3 linked regions of the Tribolium castaneum genome follow. The protein of the gene in region 1 purifies or fractionates together with the protein of each later gene. This does not show direct contact. Links are inferred from orthologs where the notes say so. Each region holds a gene or a part of one and is shown on either strand. Other genes may lie near its edges.

The links. Proteins that work in one complex are often made in the same cells at the same time.
Region 2: the proteins of Ge-1 (region 1) and pcm purify together in Homo sapiens (co-immunoprecipitation; 4 studies listed by BioGRID and IntAct, with this or other methods). This does not show direct contact. The link is inferred for Tribolium castaneum from reciprocal best matches to the Homo sapiens genes EDC4 and XRN1.
Region 3: the proteins of Ge-1 (region 1) and Edc3 purify together in Homo sapiens (affinity purification with mass spectrometry; 6 studies listed by BioGRID and IntAct, with this or other methods). This does not show direct contact. The link is inferred for Tribolium castaneum from reciprocal best matches to the Homo sapiens genes EDC4 and EDC3.

The regions. Positions count from the first base shown.
Region 1 is NC_087398.1:143,858-147,986, forward strand, and holds the start of Ge-1 (enhancer of mRNA-decapping protein 4), read right to left. Parts: upstream 2,825-4,129; 5' UTR 2,689-2,824; intron 2,571-2,688; 5' UTR 2,568-2,570; coding exon 2,521-2,567; intron 2,467-2,520; coding exon 2,074-2,466; intron 2,010-2,073; coding exon 1,670-2,009; intron 1,620-1,669; coding exon 1,507-1,619; intron 942-1,506; coding exon 1-941. Other genes in the region: lysosomal thioesterase PPT2 homolog, read right to left, coding at 2,870-3,068, 3,118-3,391, 3,450-3,557, 3,607-3,748, 3,799-3,933. UniProt on the Homo sapiens protein: In the process of mRNA degradation, seems to play a role in mRNA decapping. Component of a complex containing DCP2 and DCP1A which functions in decapping of ARE-containing mRNAs. Promotes complex formation between DCP1A and DCP2.
Region 2 is NC_087398.1:6,306,414-6,310,473, reverse strand, and holds the start of pcm (5'-3' exoribonuclease 1), read right to left. Parts: upstream 2,826-4,060; 5' UTR 2,634-2,825; coding exon 2,559-2,633; intron 2,514-2,558; coding exon 1,734-2,513; intron 1,686-1,733; coding exon 1,565-1,685; intron 1,516-1,564; coding exon 1,355-1,515; intron 570-1,354; coding exon 492-569; intron 439-491; coding exon 1-438. Other genes in the region: SCAP (sterol regulatory element-binding protein cleavage-activating protein), read right to left, coding at 3,202-3,587, 3,637-3,910, 3,961-4,060. UniProt on the Homo sapiens protein: Major 5'-3' exoribonuclease involved in mRNA decay. Required for the 5'-3'-processing of the G4 tetraplex-containing DNA and RNA substrates. The kinetic of hydrolysis is faster for G4 RNA tetraplex than for G4 DNA tetraplex and monomeric RNA tetraplex.
Region 3 is NC_087396.1:13,257,830-13,261,898, forward strand, and holds the start of Edc3 (enhancer of mRNA-decapping protein 3), read right to left. Parts: upstream 2,826-4,069; 5' UTR 2,594-2,825; coding exon 2,442-2,593; intron 2,396-2,441; coding exon 1,931-2,395; intron 1,887-1,930; coding exon 1,587-1,886; intron 1-1,586. Other genes in the region: mRNA export factor Gle1, read right to left, coding at 3,654-4,069. UniProt on the Homo sapiens protein: Binds single-stranded RNA. Involved in the process of mRNA degradation and in the positive regulation of mRNA decapping. May play a role in spermiogenesis and oogenesis.

The sequences.
Region 1 (4,129 bases):
AAACCATTTCAGGATTGGGGTTCTCTTGGTACATGAGATTTTCGTTATGTTTGTACTCCTTCTGGGGTATTTCTTGTTCTTCTTGCATTTTCGTTAAATTATCGAAATAGTCCTGAGTGCTGTACGTTGAATTGTTAAGAGATAGAATTTCCTGAACTTCTCTACTAGGACTAGAACCTCCACTTGCAAAATTATCCTTTTCAGGTCTTTGAAAATCAATCAAATTCTCAACAGTATCGCCATTTGTGCCTTCGGTTGATTTATTAATATCACCATTGATGCTAGTTCTGACACTATTAGGACGAGAGTTTTGTTCAGCTGTTGTAAAAGCGTCAGGAGTCATCAAAGTTAATTGTTGCTGTTGCTGTTGTTTTATTAATAAAGTAACGGATGACTGAAGATCGTCCAATTTTGGCACTTTCTCCAATTCCTCTTTAATTTCATTAAATATAATCTCAGTATTACACAACATCGCATCTGGTTGAAATACAATATTACACTCTTGGAATTTTTTCTGCTGAATCACCAACATTTTGATAACAACAGCTGCAACAGTATCGTCTTCATCATCGTCATCTTGATCGGCATCTTGTGAAAACTCTTCACTCATATCGGACGAACGTAATTTGCGACAGTTGGCTTCGGTTATGTGGAAGCTCAAAAAGGCAGTTGGTAGTAAAAATTGCGATATCATTGTTACTGATATTTGTTGAGCTTCATCGCTTCGTTTTAATTGCAGGACGTATAAAACTTTATTGTTTAGATCGGACATTAATAAATACTGACCCGAGTAGTCTATACTCATTTTAAGATAAACACTTTGGATTAGATTCGATGGATCTGGTTTGAAATGGATTGTCTGGAGACAAGTCCACGTTTCACAAGACCACAACTTTAGCTCAGAGTTGTGATTCGCACCCGTTATTGTGAATTTCCAACACCTGAGAAATGGCAGCAACATTTTAGTCAGAGCCAATATTATTTTGTCTTTGAATAATATGTTGCTTCAGCAGCAGGACAAACAGGAAAAATATCATTGTAAGTTTTTAAATTTCTTATTCTGACATGCAATTTGCAATTGAGCCGTCTAAATGCAAAACTGACTCTTTGACAATGAGTTAATTTTGAGATATTTGCGAAAAACTATTTTTTAAAGTTAAAATAACTTTTAAAGAGCATTTTTCTTTATGTGGTTTCATTATAACTGTAAAAATTGAATGTCGTATGCTGTATAAATGATAGTTCAGGGATAAAATAGGAATTTAGATTTACAAAGAGCAAAGAGTGAGTTTTACATCTAATTTATGTAAATAATTGTAATAATTTAAATACCTACATAATTAAAGCAAACCGAAATTAATTAAAACAATTAAAAAAACGATTAGGCAGCAGATAGAAAATATTTTTCGAATTTTTGACAAAGAACGAGATTTGCATTTAGACGGCTCCAATTGTAAAATAAATATTTTTACCGACTTTAATTTAATCATTTTGTCATGTACTTACTGAGAACTGCACTCCAGCAAATTGTCGACAAATATGATAGAAGATAGTGGTTTACCATCATGTGGTCTCCACTCATGCAAGCACTTTTGCTTTTCATTGTCAACCATGTAAATCTAAAAACACCAAAAATGTGAACAATGACCTGTTTTGCGTTATTTTGTACTTGAAAAAATTTCACATAACCGTCTAAGCAAGCAATTGCAATAGCGGTCCCATCTGACGAAAATGAAGCATCTACCAATTCAGCAGTATGGCTAATTTCAACATAACCCTCATAGTTTTCATTTGGTTGTAAAGGACCTGGCCCATACTTTGCATTAATCATGCCAAAATTCCATATTTCGGCTTTGTCCCAATTTAATACCACAAACATTTTTTCAGGATCATCTGGTGTCTCCTCTTCCTCGTCAAAACAGGTCAAGTAGGGACACCAGATAATTCGAAAGTTGGGGCTTGAATGTGGGACCACATCACTGTGGAATATGTGGAGTAGTTGTTTGTATCTAATGGCTAGTTAAGGGCCTTTTTTATTTTTTTACGTTGCTTAATAAAAATTTTGAAGGATACTTTATTGCACTAGGTTCATCAATGATTTCATAAATGAAAACATTGCCTTCGTCGTCAATACATCCTAAAATAATCTGTTGGCGTGAAAAAGCAAAAGACAGGTCTTTGACATCATTTTTCAAGTTTTTGATTAGTGCTCTTTCGTTGGTCTCTTGGTTCGTAACTCGGATCATGCCCCCGTCTTTCCCCTTCATCCCATAAGCAATAATTTTTCCATTAATGTGAACAGCGACCAATTGTCCGCGATAATAGTGAAACTCCCAATTATAATCAATCCGATTGATAAGTTTCACTTTAGAACTTCCATGGTTATGCTGTCCCGAGTTACACTGAACTGTTACTTCATGACCCACAATTTTTGCAGAATATTCCGTATCAGAATCGGTGTAACTGCTGCAAAAACACCAATTCCCTCAAACATAACCTCAAATTTCTGCTCATACGTACATGTTTTGGATCACGTCGTCTTGAGGGGCGAGCGGTGGCGAATTCATTTTCTATAAACCAAGAGTGGTAAAAAACACAAAAACCAAACCGGACTCAATATAAAAAACACGAAAATCGCACATATTGCGTCTCAAAAATTAACAAATTTATTGAAAAATGTGGGCTTACGTGTGTCTTATCCCAACTTATTAAAAGTCACTCTAAAAAGAAAAGATAAATCGTCAAACGTCAAATAAAAAATTCGTTTTAGTGGATTTGGGTCGTGATATTGGCACCAAGCGAACTTTAAAAAAAGGCGCCAACCTAGTTTTCAGGTTTTATTAATTGTTGACTACAGTTTGGTGTTGACTTAATCAAGGTATGGTAAAATATAATTGTCGACGATTGAGGTATTGAGATGCCACATAAAATGGTTAACACCAGGGACAGTGATAATTTTTAATTTTCCAGCCTTATCCAAAGTCTTCAGTCCAATAAGATCATCCTTGTAAATATCACGATCGATTAAGTTGACCACTGTATCATTTTGGCCAAAATATCCAAACTGACTGAAAAATTTTTTACAAAATTATTAATTTTACAAAAATTGAAGTATACCTTGACTCCCAGGGGGTTATCACGTTGTCATCAGGGCCCCCAATCAGCACCATTGCGTTAAGTTTAGTTATTCCCTTCTTGAACTCCTCACTTCTGTTTGAAATAATTTCATTGTTCACGAATGGTAAATATTGGGAATATTCTTTGTATAAAGTTTGGTGGTAAGGGTCGTTCCAGTAATTACCGACTGAGGTGTGTTGGCCTACCCTCGAGTAAAATAATTCAAAAGCTGATTTGAGTGCCAAGTCTGGGAAAATCAAATGTAAAAAATTCGCTAAAATTATTTTTATTAACAATTATAAATGTTTCAATGTTGGTTACAATGGTCGTACTTCCATACTGACCGGCTTGGGGGCCACTGAGTGAGATAAAATTATGAACATTGTGATTGTTAAATGTTTGTAGAATTGTTCGTGAAAGGAGAGCCCCTTGTGAATAACCTACAATATATTTGACTCTTCAGTTTTTTTCCCACAAAATAAAACACACCTAATAAGTGTATCCCTTCAGGATGTTGACTTGAAACGTTTAGGAGATCTTGGCCAAGCTGCTGGACTTGATACCACATGTTTTCCAGACTTGACCAACCAGAAAATCGATTAGTGTTGTAAATTATTGTACCGGGGTGTTGCTGGTGTCATAATTATTTTTTTTTTTTCATTGTGCAAAAAAACAACTTACTTCCTCAATCCGACCTTTGATTATTTCCATACTAGCACTTCCTGTCATGATTCCATGAAGTAAAAAAACTGGCTTATAACTCAATATTGTTATAAATAAATCACAGATAATGCAAAGTAAAAACAGATACTTCATTTTCACAAAAATAAATAAAGTACAATAAATAATTTCCTGAGTATTGTAACAATCTCACTTGTAAACACCAAAGTTATCACTAGCAGATTTGCTTACTGCGTTTTAAATAATGATTGGTCAGTCATTGTTCTTTGTGTGTTTAATTCGGACATTGAATGATATATAAATATAAACAATGAGTTGAATTAATGAATTA
Region 2 (4,060 bases), about 6.2 Mb from region 1:
GCCGTTTAGGTCGGTTTGAAACTCCTCAGGGTAGTATGATTTGATCAGCGAATTATCATCAGTCATTAAGGAATGGTAACATTCCGGGAGGAGTTTTTTACTGGCTGGGGGCAACACAGCCAGTAATTGTTCGTAAGGTTTGAAGGGTTTTCCGAGCTCAAAGTCGATTTTCAAATCGGAAAAACCCTTAATGTCGGAGATGTAGGGCGAATAGTGGTGTGGATAAAACCACGACCATGAGCACACTCCGTTGTAGTAGTAATTCAAGTTCCATTGGATGGCACGGACGTAGCCTTCGGCTTGCTCTCGCATCACTTCTCGCGTCACCTCTTGGAACTCTAATTTATTACGATAATACTCGTCTTTGTAACTTTTGAAAGCCTCGTCTTCTTCTGATGAAATGCTACTTTCGAAGTCTTCTTCATCGGAAGAGACGGCCTTTGCATTGAAAATGTTCAATTGGGAGAGTTTTTTTTTAAACCAGGACTTACCAAACTATCGGTTGCTGCTATTAATTCAGCAAGTGCGGGGTCAATTTTTTTCTCCTCGCCGTTTTTAACAGGTTTAGACTAGAGTGTAGAAAAAATAAAGTTTACTAAATATTAAACTTTTCATATTGTAAAATAGCGTATTCAGTGAAAATCTATTACGTAACGTAATATTTTATTTTTAGTTTTTTCACGGTTTAATGGATTTCCAAATAACAATAATTATAATCATTTTTGAAGGAAAAAAACAATATTAGGTCTTCTTAATTAGCATGTTTAAAAAAGTACACAAACTTACAGTGTTTTTATGGGCTCTCAGCTAAAAATTAGACGGTTCCGAGCCTCTCAAAAAGCGAGACCAATAAAAATTAAAAAATATAAGAAAATTAAAACAAACTTCAACAATTAACGTGATGTTTAATAAAAATAACAAACCCAATTATTTTGGAAATAATTTAAAACTGTCAAAAACAAGAAATTGTTCTAAATGAAAATGTGCTTAAATGCACAAAACATAAAAAATAACACCATTTTCGAGCAAAGTCAACGTTTTCTCAGATTATTTTTAAAGAAATACCATGCAATAATCAACGTCTCTGTACGAACAATGTCATAATAAAATAAAAAACTAGAAAAATAATGATAATCATAATTTATTGGTTCTGGAGAAGCAAATTTAAGAAAATTTCGCTCTTTAATCTCAAAAACGTACTTAAAAGATGAAATAATCTAAGATTTTTGCAACTAATTTGGTAATTTTTCGGTTTATTATTCATGCAAAACAATTGCGTTTGCACCTGAAAGATGTGTAAAACGCTCGAAAAAGGCAAAATTGTTTACTTTTTTGCATTATTAGAATAACTTACACTAACGGGAAGATGCGCAGTTGCTTTTCTCCCAGTTTTGCGTTCAAAATACGTTAAATCATCTTGGATTTCCTCAAAGTTTTTTATATCTACATCTGCCAACTTTTTCATAAATTTTTCGAACCGCTCTAAATTCAGCGTTCCGGCTTCATTAATGTAGCCTACAAAAACGAATTACACAACATTTTGAGTAAGAATAACGAAAATAACCATCTAATGTTGGTAAGACTTCAATGTAAGCTTTATAAAGAACAGGTAATGCTCCATTAGAGATGTGCAAATTAGGCAAATTTGGTATAAAATCGTTTCCAACAAGGAAGCCCATCAGAATCTAAAAGCATTAATTTCAGTCACATTTTTCCAAAGTTTTAGTTAGTACCCAGTCGTCAATAATGTTTTCAATGTCAAATTTAATCTTATCTGAATCCTTCAAAGCCTCCTTGAGAGGCGAAAATTCCATTTCTAAATACTCTCGCATTAAAGATAAATGCAGCAGATAAAATCTTATCTCTTCAGGTACATTGCTTCGTTTGGCTTTTTTGCCAAACTTGACCTCTTCCCTCAACAGTGAGAAGTGGGGGTCATGGGTGCACAACCCCAACATAATGAGATCAGCGTCCAAGCCATAAAGACAGTGGCGCGTATTTGGATCATACCCAGGCTGGGACCTAATGTACCTTATATAATCCATGATCTTATGCTCCCCTTCGCCGGGCGTCTCATGCCCTGATAAAATTATTTTACACTTTTTCCACATATTGTCGGTTGAAACTTTAGAAACGACGAAATATTTCAACTGTTCGTGCAACCTGGCCATGAACTCAGTGCCAGGTGTGATACAATTTGAGTCAAAACGTTCCACGTCGGGCAATTTCTCGCCCTTTTTTTTCGCCTCAAGTTCCATTTTTTCCGCGTCTTTCGCCGACCGAAACCGGCGTCCCCTTTGCTGGTTCATTTTGGCTCTGGGCGCCACCCCGTCCACTGCCATGAAGAACACCTTTTGGGGCTTGATCATCCGGAATAAAAATTCAATATAGTGGAAAATGTCCGCGAATATCTTCTCCTCGGTGATTCGAAAGTGAGGGTTGTTGTCGTCCGGATGCGAACACATGTGGATTATGCCGTTCATGTCCAAATACAAATTATCAAAAACTGGGATCTGAAACCCAGAATGTGGACGTGTTGGGTGCTGGCTGCGGTTTACCTGATATTCTTTCACAAATTCACTCAAACAAGGGTAGCGTTCGCTTATGTATCTGAAAAACTTGGGAACCCCCATGATTTAGGCTTGTTTTCAGTGCGGGTCTCAACGTCGCTCGCAAACTCTAAGACGCATGTAAATATAGAGTGTGTTTGAATGAAATGAAAGAAATAATCCACCAAAAGCTCTATATTCAATTATGAAATGCTCATCACAACTCACAACAAAAAAGAAAAATATGTCGTTTCGAATGACAGATGACAGAAAACGTGGATGACCCTAATGTCGGCTTTACACGCCACTGGCGTAACCGTACCGCAACGTAGGGCAAAGCAAATTATCGCTTCAATGACTATTTTATTTGCAACTGCAGTTCAGAAGAAATGGAAATAAAACCAATCTCGTTATTTAAAATATTTATTGTTACAAAAATAGTTAACATAACAATAATAAAAATTCATGTTAAATGCATTTATTTCCGCCAAATAAATAAATAACTTAATGAAAAAACAATTAGGTATTCGAAACCTTTTGTCAGTGAAAAATTTACAGTACGTTTTGACGCTTTTACGTAAAGGACATAAAAATAAAACAAGACATAAATAGACGAAACTATGTTACATCATTGAAGGCACGTAGAAACAACCTAGTCAAATTTATGAGTGATAAGAGGGAACCTCACGATGCGCAATTGATTTCCGTAATCACAGACCACAGCATCGCGTAACAACATCAACTGTTTGATAAAAATATACGGTGAACGGCCTAATATAATCGTTCGGACACATTCACCCGACCTCACATCCCAAATAACTAGCCCTCCACTGCGAGCTGTGACAACCAAATGAGGGGCCAACATCAACACCTGGCTAGAAAAGGTCTGAGAAACGTAAATGGTGTTCAGAAGATGGCCTTGGAAGCGCTCCCAAACACAAATGCGGTCGTCAGAACCCAGTGAAATCACGTAACTCGCAGAGTACGTCAGCGATGTTATCGTACCATCATGGGCCTGGATGTTGTACATACAGGCACCTGTAACGACGCTCTCATTAAATTTCGGCCTACCACCAAACCTATTTACCAGTTAGAAGATCCCAAACGCAGAGCATTCCGTCCTGGGAGCCACTGCCAGAAGTCGCTGGACTGATCCTGTCAATGAAAAGACAGGTGATGGGGCCGCAGTGGCCGTGCAGCGTGTACTGGGGGCTGCCGTCCTCCAGTCGGAACACTTTAAGCGTGTGGTCTTGGCTGCCGGTTAAAATTCTGCCGCCTTCACAGTCGAGGCAGATAATCGGCTGTTGGTGTGCCTTAACGCTGAAAACTTTCAAACACCGGAAATCTTCCTCATCCTCGTTCTAAAAATCGTAATTTGGAGAAATATTCAGAGTTAAAAATGATAATTTACTTGTGAAATTAAATTGGTGTGATCAGGGACGGAACCAACTGAGCCAGTCCTTACGTGGGTTCTTCGGTATGCGCAAGTGAAATTCCAGTCAACTGGATGG
Region 3 (4,069 bases), on another chromosome or scaffold:
AGTTGTTATCGAGACCTTCAAAGAAATGTTTGCTAGACATGGTATACCCGAAGTTGTCCGCTCCGACAATGGCAAACAATTTGATTGTCACGAATACAGAACTTTCAGCAGAAAATATGGATTTAAGTTAATTACCAGTAGTCCCCATTACCAACAGTCAAATGGACAAGCCGAAAGTGCTGTGAAGCTGCTCAAAACGATATTGAGGAAAAATGAAGATCCATATCTTGCACTTCTTACCTACCGCAATACACCTACTAAATGTGGATTGTCACCTGCCCAACTGCTCTTTGGCAGAAACCTTCGAGACAGACTGCCAAGGTTACCTTCAGGGTTAAAACCTGCAACTATCGACCATGACACTGTCAGACAAACGTTAATCAACAATCAAGCAGAACAGAAGTCCAACTACGACAAACGACACCGAGTAACAAAAGAAGAGAAAAATCTAAAAGAAGGTGATCGCGTATGGATCATAAATATGCAAAAGGAGGGAGAAGTACAACGCAGATGTGAAGAACCAAGGTCATATTTGATCGAGACTGACGGCGGTTGCGTCAGACGAAATCGAAGACATCTTCAGCCCTTACCAGACAGAAATAATGAACCCGAACATGACCCAGAACAACCAGACGAATCAGAGGAACCAAAGAAAAGACCAATCAGAAGACCCAAAAGATACCAAGATTATTATTGTTATTGAAATATGTATATTTTGATACCTCAGGTAGTTAGTTTCATATTTAGCTTAGTTTTGTATTTAAAAGGGGGGATGTTAGGTTGGCAACTCTCACGTGGGCGACACGGGAGTTGGAGGGGGGTTTTTTGGCAGAGTGAGTTAGTTAGGTTATGTCGCAGAAGGGGCCTGGACGCACCCTCAATGCTCCGGGATATTAGTCAATAAACAGTTATAAGGTTGAATGGTCTATTTACAACTAACCTAACAAGTATTGTACGAATTCAGATTTAAATCATGCTACTTAAAATATTCTTAAAAAAAAATAATTTTTTTATTGGTAAACGACTCAATTGTATGCCGGAAAATTTAAGAGTACACGCTGACTAGCTTTAAAAAATGATAAAAATATCTAAACAAGAATCCAGAGATTTCAGATGCAGAACAGCTTTAGGAAAGAATCAGAATAATCTTAAAGAATTCTAAACGAAAGTAGAGAATTTTTATTGTTATCAGTGTTTTGTGCAATATAGTTATTAACAATATGAGTACGAAAACACAAGCTTAAAGTCCGAGGACTGTCATACAACGAGCGTATACGAGTGACATACCTGGACACTCGAGAACTTTAAGCATTTTCGCATAAATATTATTCAACTTTTTTTTTGTTGGAACATTTTAATGAAAAACACGTTGCTATGGGGAGCGTGTTTTAAAATAGTGAAAACACGTTGCTATCGGAAACGTCTAGGATTCAGATATTAAAAAAAGGCTTAAAATATTACCAAAAAAAAAGTCTGTTGCCCTTGTTTTAATGTTTCTAATACCGCTTCTTATTTAAACGTGGAGAATTATGATTTTTACCAAGCTCACTGCCTTCAAATGAGCTCGGAAAATTAAACAAACTTACTTGTGCGGCCCACACAGCACTACAACAGTGGGAAACTGGTGCGAGTTGTGAGGATTCAACCTATGCCCGCCCCCCAATAACTGTACCGAAATTTCGGCAGCTGCCCTCCCAAACAGCTCCACCCTCTTATCCCACGTGAGCCCCACTCTATCAGCCACTTCCCACAGTTTCTTTCGCAAAGACCTCGAAATGCTCGGTATAATCAGCCCATCATCCGTCACATACTCGCAAAAGTCTTGCTTAGGCACTATTATCTGCCTATACGATGCTGGAGTGCTTGCAATAACATTTTCATCATGCCTGGAACAAACCCTGTGACTGTGCCACGCTATTTTTCGCCAAACCTGTATTTCGCCGGCTTCTTGCTGTCGGCATTCTTAATAACGTCCGGTTTCTGGGAGTTGTTAATCTCGTCCCAGATGGCTTGTTTATCAAAAAGCGCCAAATTTTTCTCAAAATCGAAGTCTTTGTTGATTTTGTGGTCCAAAGGCGAGCCGAAACACTCCTCGTCCTTCCAGCCTTTGGACCACTTGCCTTTTGACTTTTCTCGCCTGACTGGGGTTCCGTTTTTGAATGAACTGGATTCGTTAAAACTATAGTTCGTGGTTTTGGGTTCGATATCAATGGGTTTTGATTTGCTGTGAGATCCGTTTAAATTTGTATGTTTGGATGCTGCATTGGCGACATCTGAGGTGCTCTGCGTTCGTCCAGCGCGCTTCGCGATTGGCTTGGCGATGGTTATTGTGCTTCTCTGTGGAGGTGAGCTTAAGTGCTTGTCAATTAATTTCAACTCTTCGATTTCGTTTGCCCTAAAATGCGATGCTCAAATTCGAGGTGTTGGAGAGACTGGGTTACCTAATGGTCACTTCGTTCGAAGGACAGGGAATGCCGTTGCAGAAAGCCTTAGTTAGAGCAATCTGAGAAGTCGTAGCTGCGCTAATTTCACCTTGATAAGCGGTATCATCGGCGCACTTAATTGAGACCATGTATCCTACCCACTGTGCCATTTTCTTTACAAATATCAATAGCACAACCGAGAGCAGATAATTTGTATAATTTATAAAATGAGGTTAGGTAACACTGCGCAGCAGATTTATCAGTCGACCTCAACTTCCCAACAAATTATTAAATACGTGATGTAGAACCAATAATTAGCACAAAACAAGAAGAAATATTTACAACAATGAACCCACAACAAATTAACAGCACCCAACAACCATCTCTTGCGACACACTTTTCGATACAGCTTTCTCTCTCGCACGTTTCACCTTTTCTAAAAATAAATTCGCGCCGTCTCTCTCTGCCCAACGCTGAGTCGCATCAACTATCTCTTTCCAACGTCCGTTAGTTAGAAATACCGTACAACCGAAATATTTTATAAAATTTTAAACCGCAAAATAGGCCTTAAGTAGCGCAAAAATTGGCAAAATAAACTCGAAAGAAGTTGCAAAATTTCGACACTTTTTATGCTTCTACAAAATGAGAATGCAGGGCCGGACTCGTTCCTAACCCCGGTCTCCCGGTGCTTCAAGCCCGTACTAATTACAAATCTGAAAGCCCCAGTTAATTTTCGTCGTAATCAGGTAGAAAAATCAACCACTGAAACGACCATAACCTTAACCGTTTTTCCAGAAATGAGTAATATCATGACTTTGGTGAAAATCGGGGCTGTGGGGGGCATAGCGACGGTCACGATGGGCTTATTATACCGAAATAAGATTGAGCAAAACATTAAAGGCACCGTTTATTACAAAGAAGCCTTAAGGACTGTGCGAACCAACCGAGGGGCAGTGCACCTCCTCGGCGAGCCAATCAAAGACGGAAAAATCGACCTAGACGACACGGAAACGAACTTCACGAGCGAGAATTCCGCCCATTACGAAGTCCCCATAAGGGGGCCCAAGCAGAAAGGGCGAGTATATTTCTGGGCCAGTAAACATGACAACAACTGGGTCGTATACAGAGTAGAGTTAGGGTTAGAAAACGAGCCCGATCGGAGGTTACTAATTAAAAACCAGGACCAGTAAATTAATAAAAGTTTATTTCTCCTTGTATATACACAATAAATTACCAGAAATTGTTGGGTAAAATCCCATTGGGCGTTTCAAAGTGCCCCTTGCTTTTATAGTCTTGCAGCAGCACCTCTAGCCTCGTCACGGGCCCCCCCGAATCAATTTTCTTCAACGTCGGCATGAACTTCTCCATGATAATCACAACCAATTTCTTGAAGGCCATTCCGTAGACCAGTTCCATCTCAAAACCAACAGTTTCGAGGAAAACGTGCAAAACGGTTGCTGTGATGTCCAGCTGTGGTTTTAATTTTAGGATTGAGGCCAAAAAAATCCACGCGTTTGTAATGTCGTAGGGGTTTTTTGTCTGTCCCCGCTTTGGCTTGGCAATGAAAATGGCAAAATACAGTCGCAAGATTCCAGTCATTCGTTTGAGAAATTTGTCCTGTTTTTCGATCTGCCCGTCAATGTAGT